Mus musculus: one gene and its partner. The protein of the gene in region 1 interacts with the protein of each later gene in a pairwise test. Links are inferred from orthologs where the notes say so. Each region holds a gene or a part of one and is shown in the gene's direction. Other genes may lie near its edges.

Region 1 (3,648 bases):
TCCAAGAACACTACATCATGATTTATAATTAATGCACTCCCAGAGGACTATTGAGGCTTTGTTTTGGCTAGGCACCAAGGGGCACATATCCCAGTGTTCCATCTAGACTTACTTCACACCTGGCTCCATTCTACACTTTTGTGCCCCCTCCCATGAAGTATTACATACACCTATTTTATAATAATGGTGATATTTCTATTCCTTAAGATTATAGTTTTCTATGCTACTATTTTTTTTCACGTTTTTGAGACAGTATGTAGGCTTACCTGACCTTGAGCTTGCTATGTAGACTAGGTTAGCCTCAAATCATAAAGATCCATCTGTCTCTGCCTCTTGAGTGCTGGGAATAAAGGTGTGGGCTACCAGACTCAGCAGTTTTGTTGTTGTTTTTAACTTTTTAAGTTAACATACACAGTAATGAGTTTCATTATGGCATTTTTCATATGTATGCATCATTAACACTTCTCCTTCCTCCTAGCGGTTTGCCTTTCCCTAAAGAGCTCTCACTCTGCTTTTGTAAAGAACAGGCAGCCTTAAGGGAGATCTTAAGCACATTTTCAGGGGACAGGTTCTGAGGGACAGGTGTTTTTTTTTTTTTTTTTTTTTTTTGGTAGATTCAGTTTTATAAAACCTGTCAGAGGAGGAGAACCTGTGAAGCTATCTAAACTCTTCCTGAATTATTGCTTTAAGGCTTTAAGTAGTGACATTAAGTAGGTAGGTAGCCTTTAAATGAAGATAGGGTAAATAAGATTTAGCAAGAATAATGAAAGCAATTAATACTTTTTAATTTACTTAAACTTAATAAATAACTTGAAAATTTCTGTGTACTTTTGTAGCTGTTGTATTTGTTGTTGATAGTAGTCATAGAGACAGAATTAGTGAAGCACACAGTGAACTTGCAAAGTTGTTAACGGAAAAAGAACTCCGAGATGCCTTACTCTTGATTTTTGCTAACAAACAGGTAATGAATTTTTATATCAACATTTATTACTTTGGTAGTTTTGCATATTCCATATCATAAGTCATTTGAGAAGATATCAAAGAATCAATAGATACTTGTAAATTTCTGCTGTGGAAAATGTTACCTTCGATATTGTAGAGTATATGCACATACAAATCAAGTAAATGCATTCTTGTGTGTTCATGCTATATTCTAATATATATAAATTAGGACATCACTTCAACAATATTAATAGAATGCTGAGACGTAAGGATAGACCTATTCTAAATTAGGTTGTATCTTAAAGTATGTAAAAGTGGATTTAGGTAGATCAGGAGTTTAGATTGGCCTGGCATATATGGCAATCTCAAAGCTAGCCTGAGTTATGCATCAAGACCTTGTCTCAGAAATAGGAAAAGCTGGAGCTGAGTGGCAGTGCTCCCATGTAACATGTAACATGTCCCATGTAACATGTGCATGGCCTTGGTTTTGATCCTTTGAATGGTTTATAGTGGGGGATTCGGTCATATGATTGGAGTTTAAATTATGATAGGATTGAACTTACAGATGTATTTGAGTTTATATGTGAAGGAATAATATTAACAGGAAGAGAAACAGTAGCATAGCTAGTTTTAGGGAGCATCAAACTAACTTATATATTAAATTCAGTTAAAGGATGAAGAAAACCTAGATTAATAGATCTGGTCATGGAATAGAATAAAAAAGTTAATACTTTATTTTGTAACATTTTTAAAAAAAAATTATTAATCTACATTCCAAGTGTTGCCTCCCTTCCTGGTTCTCCCCTTTGCTTCTGAAAGGTGCCCCGCCACCTACCCTATCATAGCTGTGATTGATTTCATTATTTATTCCTTAATATATATAGATATTCTAACCAAAACATTTTCTTAATTCTTTTAGTTAATCTTAGAATCTGAAAATGAATTTTGGTTTTGTTTAGGATTCAATCACAGTGTTACCAGTAGTTTTCTATACAATTGGTAAGAGTTAGAAAAATGATTCCTTGATTGATAGAAATCACTCTATGTGTTTTTTAGGATGTAGCTGGAGCACTTTCAGTAGAAGAAATCACTGAACTTCTCAGTCTCCATAAACTATGCTGTGGAAGGAGTTGGTATATTCAGGGCTGTGATGCTCGAAGTGGAATGGGGCTCTACGAAGGGTTGGACTGGCTGTCCCGGCAACTTGTGGCTGCTGGAGTGTTGGATGTTGCTTGATTTTAATGCAGCAGTTGTTTCATGCTTATGGTTAACAGTTACTTTGCATGTGATGCATTCTAAGAAATTCTACATCTCAAATGTGATAATTAATTTAGTATGTGTATATATGAATCCTGGACTGAGAAATGTACCATTGTTTTTAAAAAGTACTCTGTGGCAAATTTAAATGACCCTGTTACATTGGTTAAATGGAGGTTTCTTGGATATACACTTTTAAAAGGTACATTAGGCATTGGAAACTTTCAGTGTATATATGTCCTTATATTGAGAGAGAAGTGGTCACAGACAATGAGTAGAAGGTCCTTTATTTTAGTGAAAAAACAGCCAGTGGAGTGCCTAACAGAGCTTAAGGAAGTATGGCTTTACCCCACCTTTTTATTGTTTTTGGCCATTGTGTACTAGAATTGAAGCTATATTGGGGTAATAGGATTGCTTTACTTCCACATTTAGCATAACATCCTTAGTGCTGGGGTCCATAAAACATAGAAAATCATTTTTTTCTACAATTTTATTATAACTCTCTCCTAAAGCATTTTGCATAACGCACAGTGAGAATGAAATGTTACCTAAGTGGACCTGATCATTAGACCAGAACTAAATTAAGAACAATAAAACTGTGAAAGTTGTTTGATCTTCACTCATAAGAACCATTTCCAGGACTGGGCCTAAGTTTATTTCCCAGGTCATAGCCCTAAATTGCTCCTTTATTTGTTCAACACATTTTCTTAGGCTAAGTAATGTGCATCCTTTGTTGGTAAAGTGTCGTAAGTCACATGAAAAACCTGTCACCTTTACATAAACACATTGAGACCTAAATAGGAAACTACCTATACCTTAGGAAAGGTTTTTCAAACAGTGGGAATGCTAATTTCTTTAACATGGTTTTCCAAGTTAAGTGCATTTACTTGACAATAAAAAGGATCAAGGCTCTTTAGGACAAGGTCTCAGTTAAAAGGAAGAACATGTCTAAAGTAAAAGAAACTTTTATAAAAAGTTTACATTTACTATGGCAGTGTTGTGAATAAAAATTAAATTTTGTGTTCTTACAGTTTATTTGTAAAAGATACTCTTATTATGGAAGCATGATTTCTTATATTTAAATAGGTAGATCTCCTGTTACTAATGCTCTTTAAGATGAAGTTGAGAGCTAAATCTTAGTGCAATTGTTACAAGGACAGTGATTTTTAGGTGGCAATGTTCTGGTTCAGTTTTTTCAAATATACTTTTTTTTTTTTAAACTTAGGAGCCAGCACTATAAAAAGCCCATCAAATATTATGGGCAGTATGTAAATAAAAATATAATAATTTGCCATTTTTCAAGAAAGTAACCGGTCACGCTGTTACAAGTAGTTTGTATGCATATGTAATACTTTGTAATTAAATTATTTAATATTTGACTGATTTTAGTAACTGTGAAAAATAAAGATGTTGCATTTATTTGTGAGACTTTGAATTGTTTTCTGTAGT
Region 2 (3,874 bases), on another chromosome or scaffold:
TGTTCTCTAAAGGAGGAAAGATGGTGGAGCTGGCTGATGGGGCTGACTGGGGTTTTCCCTCTTAATGTGGACACAAATCAATAATGGGTTCATTGGAGGAAAGATGCCTTGAATTAGGAATTAATCCAGATGATTGTAGTGGAGACAAGGAAGTAAAAATGAAAACTATGCAAAGTGTAAGCCCATCTTCACAGTCAAGAAATTTGGTGCCTCATTATAGGCTATTTTTTTTTCTTGGTTGAGGGCAGCCATGAAGACCAGGTTAGTTCCTCTGAAGGAATGTTCCACCAGACCCTTTTGAAAATAACCTACAAGGGGTAGGTGACAACACCCAGGAATTTAGTCCTTTGTAGTTTTCCTCAACTTGACCTTTTGTAGTCACAAGCTCTATAAACTATATTTTTGGTCCAAGCGGCAGGATTTACTAAAAGTCATTTGATATTATTATGTCAGGCCTCTGCAAGGTACTTAAGATTTCATCACTGGGACGCAATTAGGGAAGCATAGATACTGTATGCAGCCATAGTGTTTCAGGAATGTTCCACAACGAGAATAAATCGAAGAAGCCAGTGTTTGGAAATCTAGTGAACGCTCTGCCGTGAGTTGTCAGGCTTTACCTGTGTGCAACACTGAGCAATGGAGGACGTTTTCTGTCTAAATTAGAGACTTCTGGCCACGGTGCCTATTGTCATTTCCAGTTGCATTATTAACTTTCTTTCTGTCCCTCCTCCTCCTAGTATCCTCATCGTGGTGGAGTGGCCATCAGGAGGTATCCTACATCTATGCCTCCAAAGCCCTTCTGCACCGCACCCCCCGCACCCCCCTCATCCTTGTCCCTGGGGCCAACACCATCACCTCCCATAACATTACTATAGGAGGAAAACTGAGGACGGTGCAACAGCTTTAATCCCAGCAGAGGTAACCAGATCTCTGTGAGCTTTAGACCACCCTGATCTACATAGGGAGTTAAAGGTCAGCCAGGCTACATAGTGATACCGTGCTTAAAAAACAAAACAAAACAGAGTGGAGGAGGGAATTGAGGCTAAGACTGTGTGTGTGGGGGGGTGTACTGTCAATTTCTGACGGAGTGGGCCATTGCAACAATTTGGTAACAACTAAAGCTGTCTGCAGTCTCGAACCCGTGGCTAACAGGCATAACAAACACAACAGGCTTCCTGAGCTCACGCCCAAGGTTGTATGATTCGTGGTGGAAGCCCTTGACTGCGGGAACTTCGGCTTCCACAGCACCTCCACTACAAGAACTACTATGTGGCTGGGACACTGGGCGCGAACACTCAAGCGGACAGGTCATGAACCCGAAAGCCGCTAGCTGTCAGGGTGACTGACGCCACGCCCCGGAGGCGGCGGGAGTCTGCGCGGCCCACGAAGAGGCAGAACTGCGCATGTGCGGCGTCTACTTTTAGCGCTGCTTCGGCTGGTCGGGGCAGGAAGCGGAAGACTGACCGGGCGTTGTTAGACTCCCACCAACGGAAGTCCCGCCCATCTTGCTCAGCCTGTTCCCGGAAGTGCATCTGCTTGTCTCGGGCGAGATGGCTTCAAGGTTACTTCGCGGAGTGGGCGCTTTGGCGGCGCAGGCCCTGAGGGCCCACGGCCCCCGTGGCGCGGCCGTGACCCGCTCCATGGCTTCTGGAGGTACGTGACCAGCTGGGCGGGACAGGCCGGTGTCCATGGCCTCCGGCGTGGTTGGTGATGGGCGGTCGAGCGGGGTCGGCCATTAGCGTTCTCTCGAGCCCTGCTGACCACCTTAGGCTCCGGGAGCCGGCGCTCTGTCCGGTCTTGCTGTAATTTCGGCCGCCCACCCGATCGAACCCGCTTTCAAAGTGCCCTCACTGGAAGGTGCCGGGTGACCTTGGAACACAAGGACTTGGAGGGCTGAAAAAGCGCTGGACCAACATTCAAATCCCTTGCCCGCCACCAGCCAGTATACTCTCATGACTTGATTGTAGGGAAAGTCGACAACCAAGCTTCCGCGGTGGGAAGGGAAAAACGGTATGGCTTGGGAGTCATGCCTCAGTGGGCTTAGGGGACTGTGGGAATGGGTAGCTTGGGAACCCACCAAAGAAGCGGATAACGTCACCTTTCCCGTGTTGATCTTTTTATCGTGTATCCATCGTGGTCATATCAATTGCCGTAGCTCATTTTTCTTCTTCTAGGTGGTGTCCCCACTGATGAGGAGCAGGCTACTGGGCTGGAGAGGGAGATCATGATAGCAGCACAGAAGGGACTGGTAAGGAGAAATGCTGTGTCCTCTGGAGCCCTGGGGCTTGGATGGGATTAGAGGAGTTCCTGTCAGCCAGCGTCTGGTCCTGACAACCCAGCTTGTAGGAACGGCCCTTTTGCAGTGCAGTGGCAGGCGTTATCTGTCATAAATAGTCAACTCTTGTCTCTTTCAGGACCCATACAATATGCTACCTCCAAAGGCAGCTTCAGGCACCAAGGAAGACCCTAATCTAGTCCCGTCCATCAGCAACAAGAGAATAGTGGGCTGCATCTGTAAGCACTTTGTTTTTATTTTCTGGCCCATTTGTTTATAACCTGCCTCACAGAATGTCTATAAATTGCTTCAGATATGTGTGTATGATGGACTGTATGTGTGTAAAAATGTAAATATGTGTATACATTGTTGTAAGGGTTGTTGACTGTCTTAAGTCTCAGTATGCATGAGAAGTCACAGAAGGCAGATGACCCTGGAGCTGTAGTTACAAGCAAGGCTGTGAGCCACTTTGCTGTGGCTACTGGGAATTGAACTCAGGTCCTCTGGAAGAGCAGTCCATGCTTTTAATTGCTGAACTATCTTTCCAGCCCAGATTATTTACACACACACACACACGTATGTACATACATATGCCAGGTACTGTTTGTTTCAAGCACTAGGGATACACATGAGTACAGATCCTGTTTTGGAATTTTGCATAGGGACTGGAATTGTTAGAACCTACAGTGACCCCATACAAGGTTATCTTACTCACAGGTAAATGCATCCCCGCTTTTTCATTTGAAGGAGCGGAGCGTGAAGTGGTCTCCTAGTCAGTGGCAGTTTTGTTGCTGTGTCCGAAGTGTCTGTAGGAAAGAGGTGAATGCTGAAAGCCTCCCTCTGTACATGGACGCTGGATGACTGTCAACCGTCTTTCCCTTTCAGGTGAAGAGGACAACTGTACTGTCATCTGGTTTTGGCTGCACAAAGGCGAGAGTCAGCGATGCCCCAACTGTGGAACCCATTACAAGCTGGTGCCCCACCAAATGGCCCACTGAGCCCCTGTGTTATCTTTTCAGAATGTAAAGAAAAACTTCTCTCTAATAAAGATTAGCCATTGCACTGGCTCCTCCCATAGCTGGCTAGTCTTATGTCTATAGTCTTTTTTTTTTTAATATATATATATTGAGACCACCTATCTCTTAATACTAGTTTGGCATCCACTTAGAATGTAAAACCAGTATAGAATTGTTAGAATTTTATTTTTAAAAAATTTTAAACTTTTTGTTGTTGCTGTTATTTGTTTGCTTTTCGAGACAGGGTTTCTCTTTTCTCTGTGTAGCCTTGGCTGGCCTGGAACTCACTCTGTAGACCAGGCTTGCCTTGACTTCAGATTCTGAGTGCTGGGATTAAAAGTATCTGCCACCACAGCCTGGCTAAAAATTCTTTTAAATTTTAACTTTTATATAATGTAGAGGGGGCAAAAACCAAGGGGGATTGTTAGGGGCAAGAGCAGTGACAATATGCTGACCTTGCTCAGATCTTCATGGTTCCGTTTTGCCCTGCTAATGACTGAATAACTGGGCCATATGCTACAGAGACACTAACCCTGACGCAGGACTTAGGGGAAGGACGTTACAGAGCTCCAGCCCACTCTGT

The links. The genes of interacting proteins can lie anywhere in the genome.
Region 2: the proteins of Trim23 (region 1) and Cox5b interact in binary tests that used the Homo sapiens proteins (3 or more experiments, as listed by UniProt). The two-hybrid records come from large-scale screens. The link is inferred for Mus musculus from reciprocal best matches to the Homo sapiens genes TRIM23 and COX5B.

Annotation. Positions count from the first base shown.
Region 1 is NC_000079.6:104,199,233-104,202,880, forward strand, and holds part of Trim23 (E3 ubiquitin-protein ligase TRIM23), read left to right. Parts: intron 1-836; coding exon 837-961; intron 962-1,998; coding exon 1,999-2,178; 3' UTR 2,179-3,648.
Region 2 is NC_000067.6:36,690,037-36,693,910, forward strand, and holds Cox5b (cytochrome c oxidase subunit 5B, mitochondrial), read left to right. Parts: upstream 1-1,450; 5' UTR 1,451-1,550; coding exon 1,551-1,653; intron 1,654-2,174; coding exon 2,175-2,248; intron 2,249-2,414; coding exon 2,415-2,514; intron 2,515-3,160; coding exon 3,161-3,273; 3' UTR 3,274-3,352; downstream 3,353-3,874. UniProt on the Homo sapiens protein: Component of the cytochrome c oxidase, the last enzyme in the mitochondrial electron transport chain which drives oxidative phosphorylation.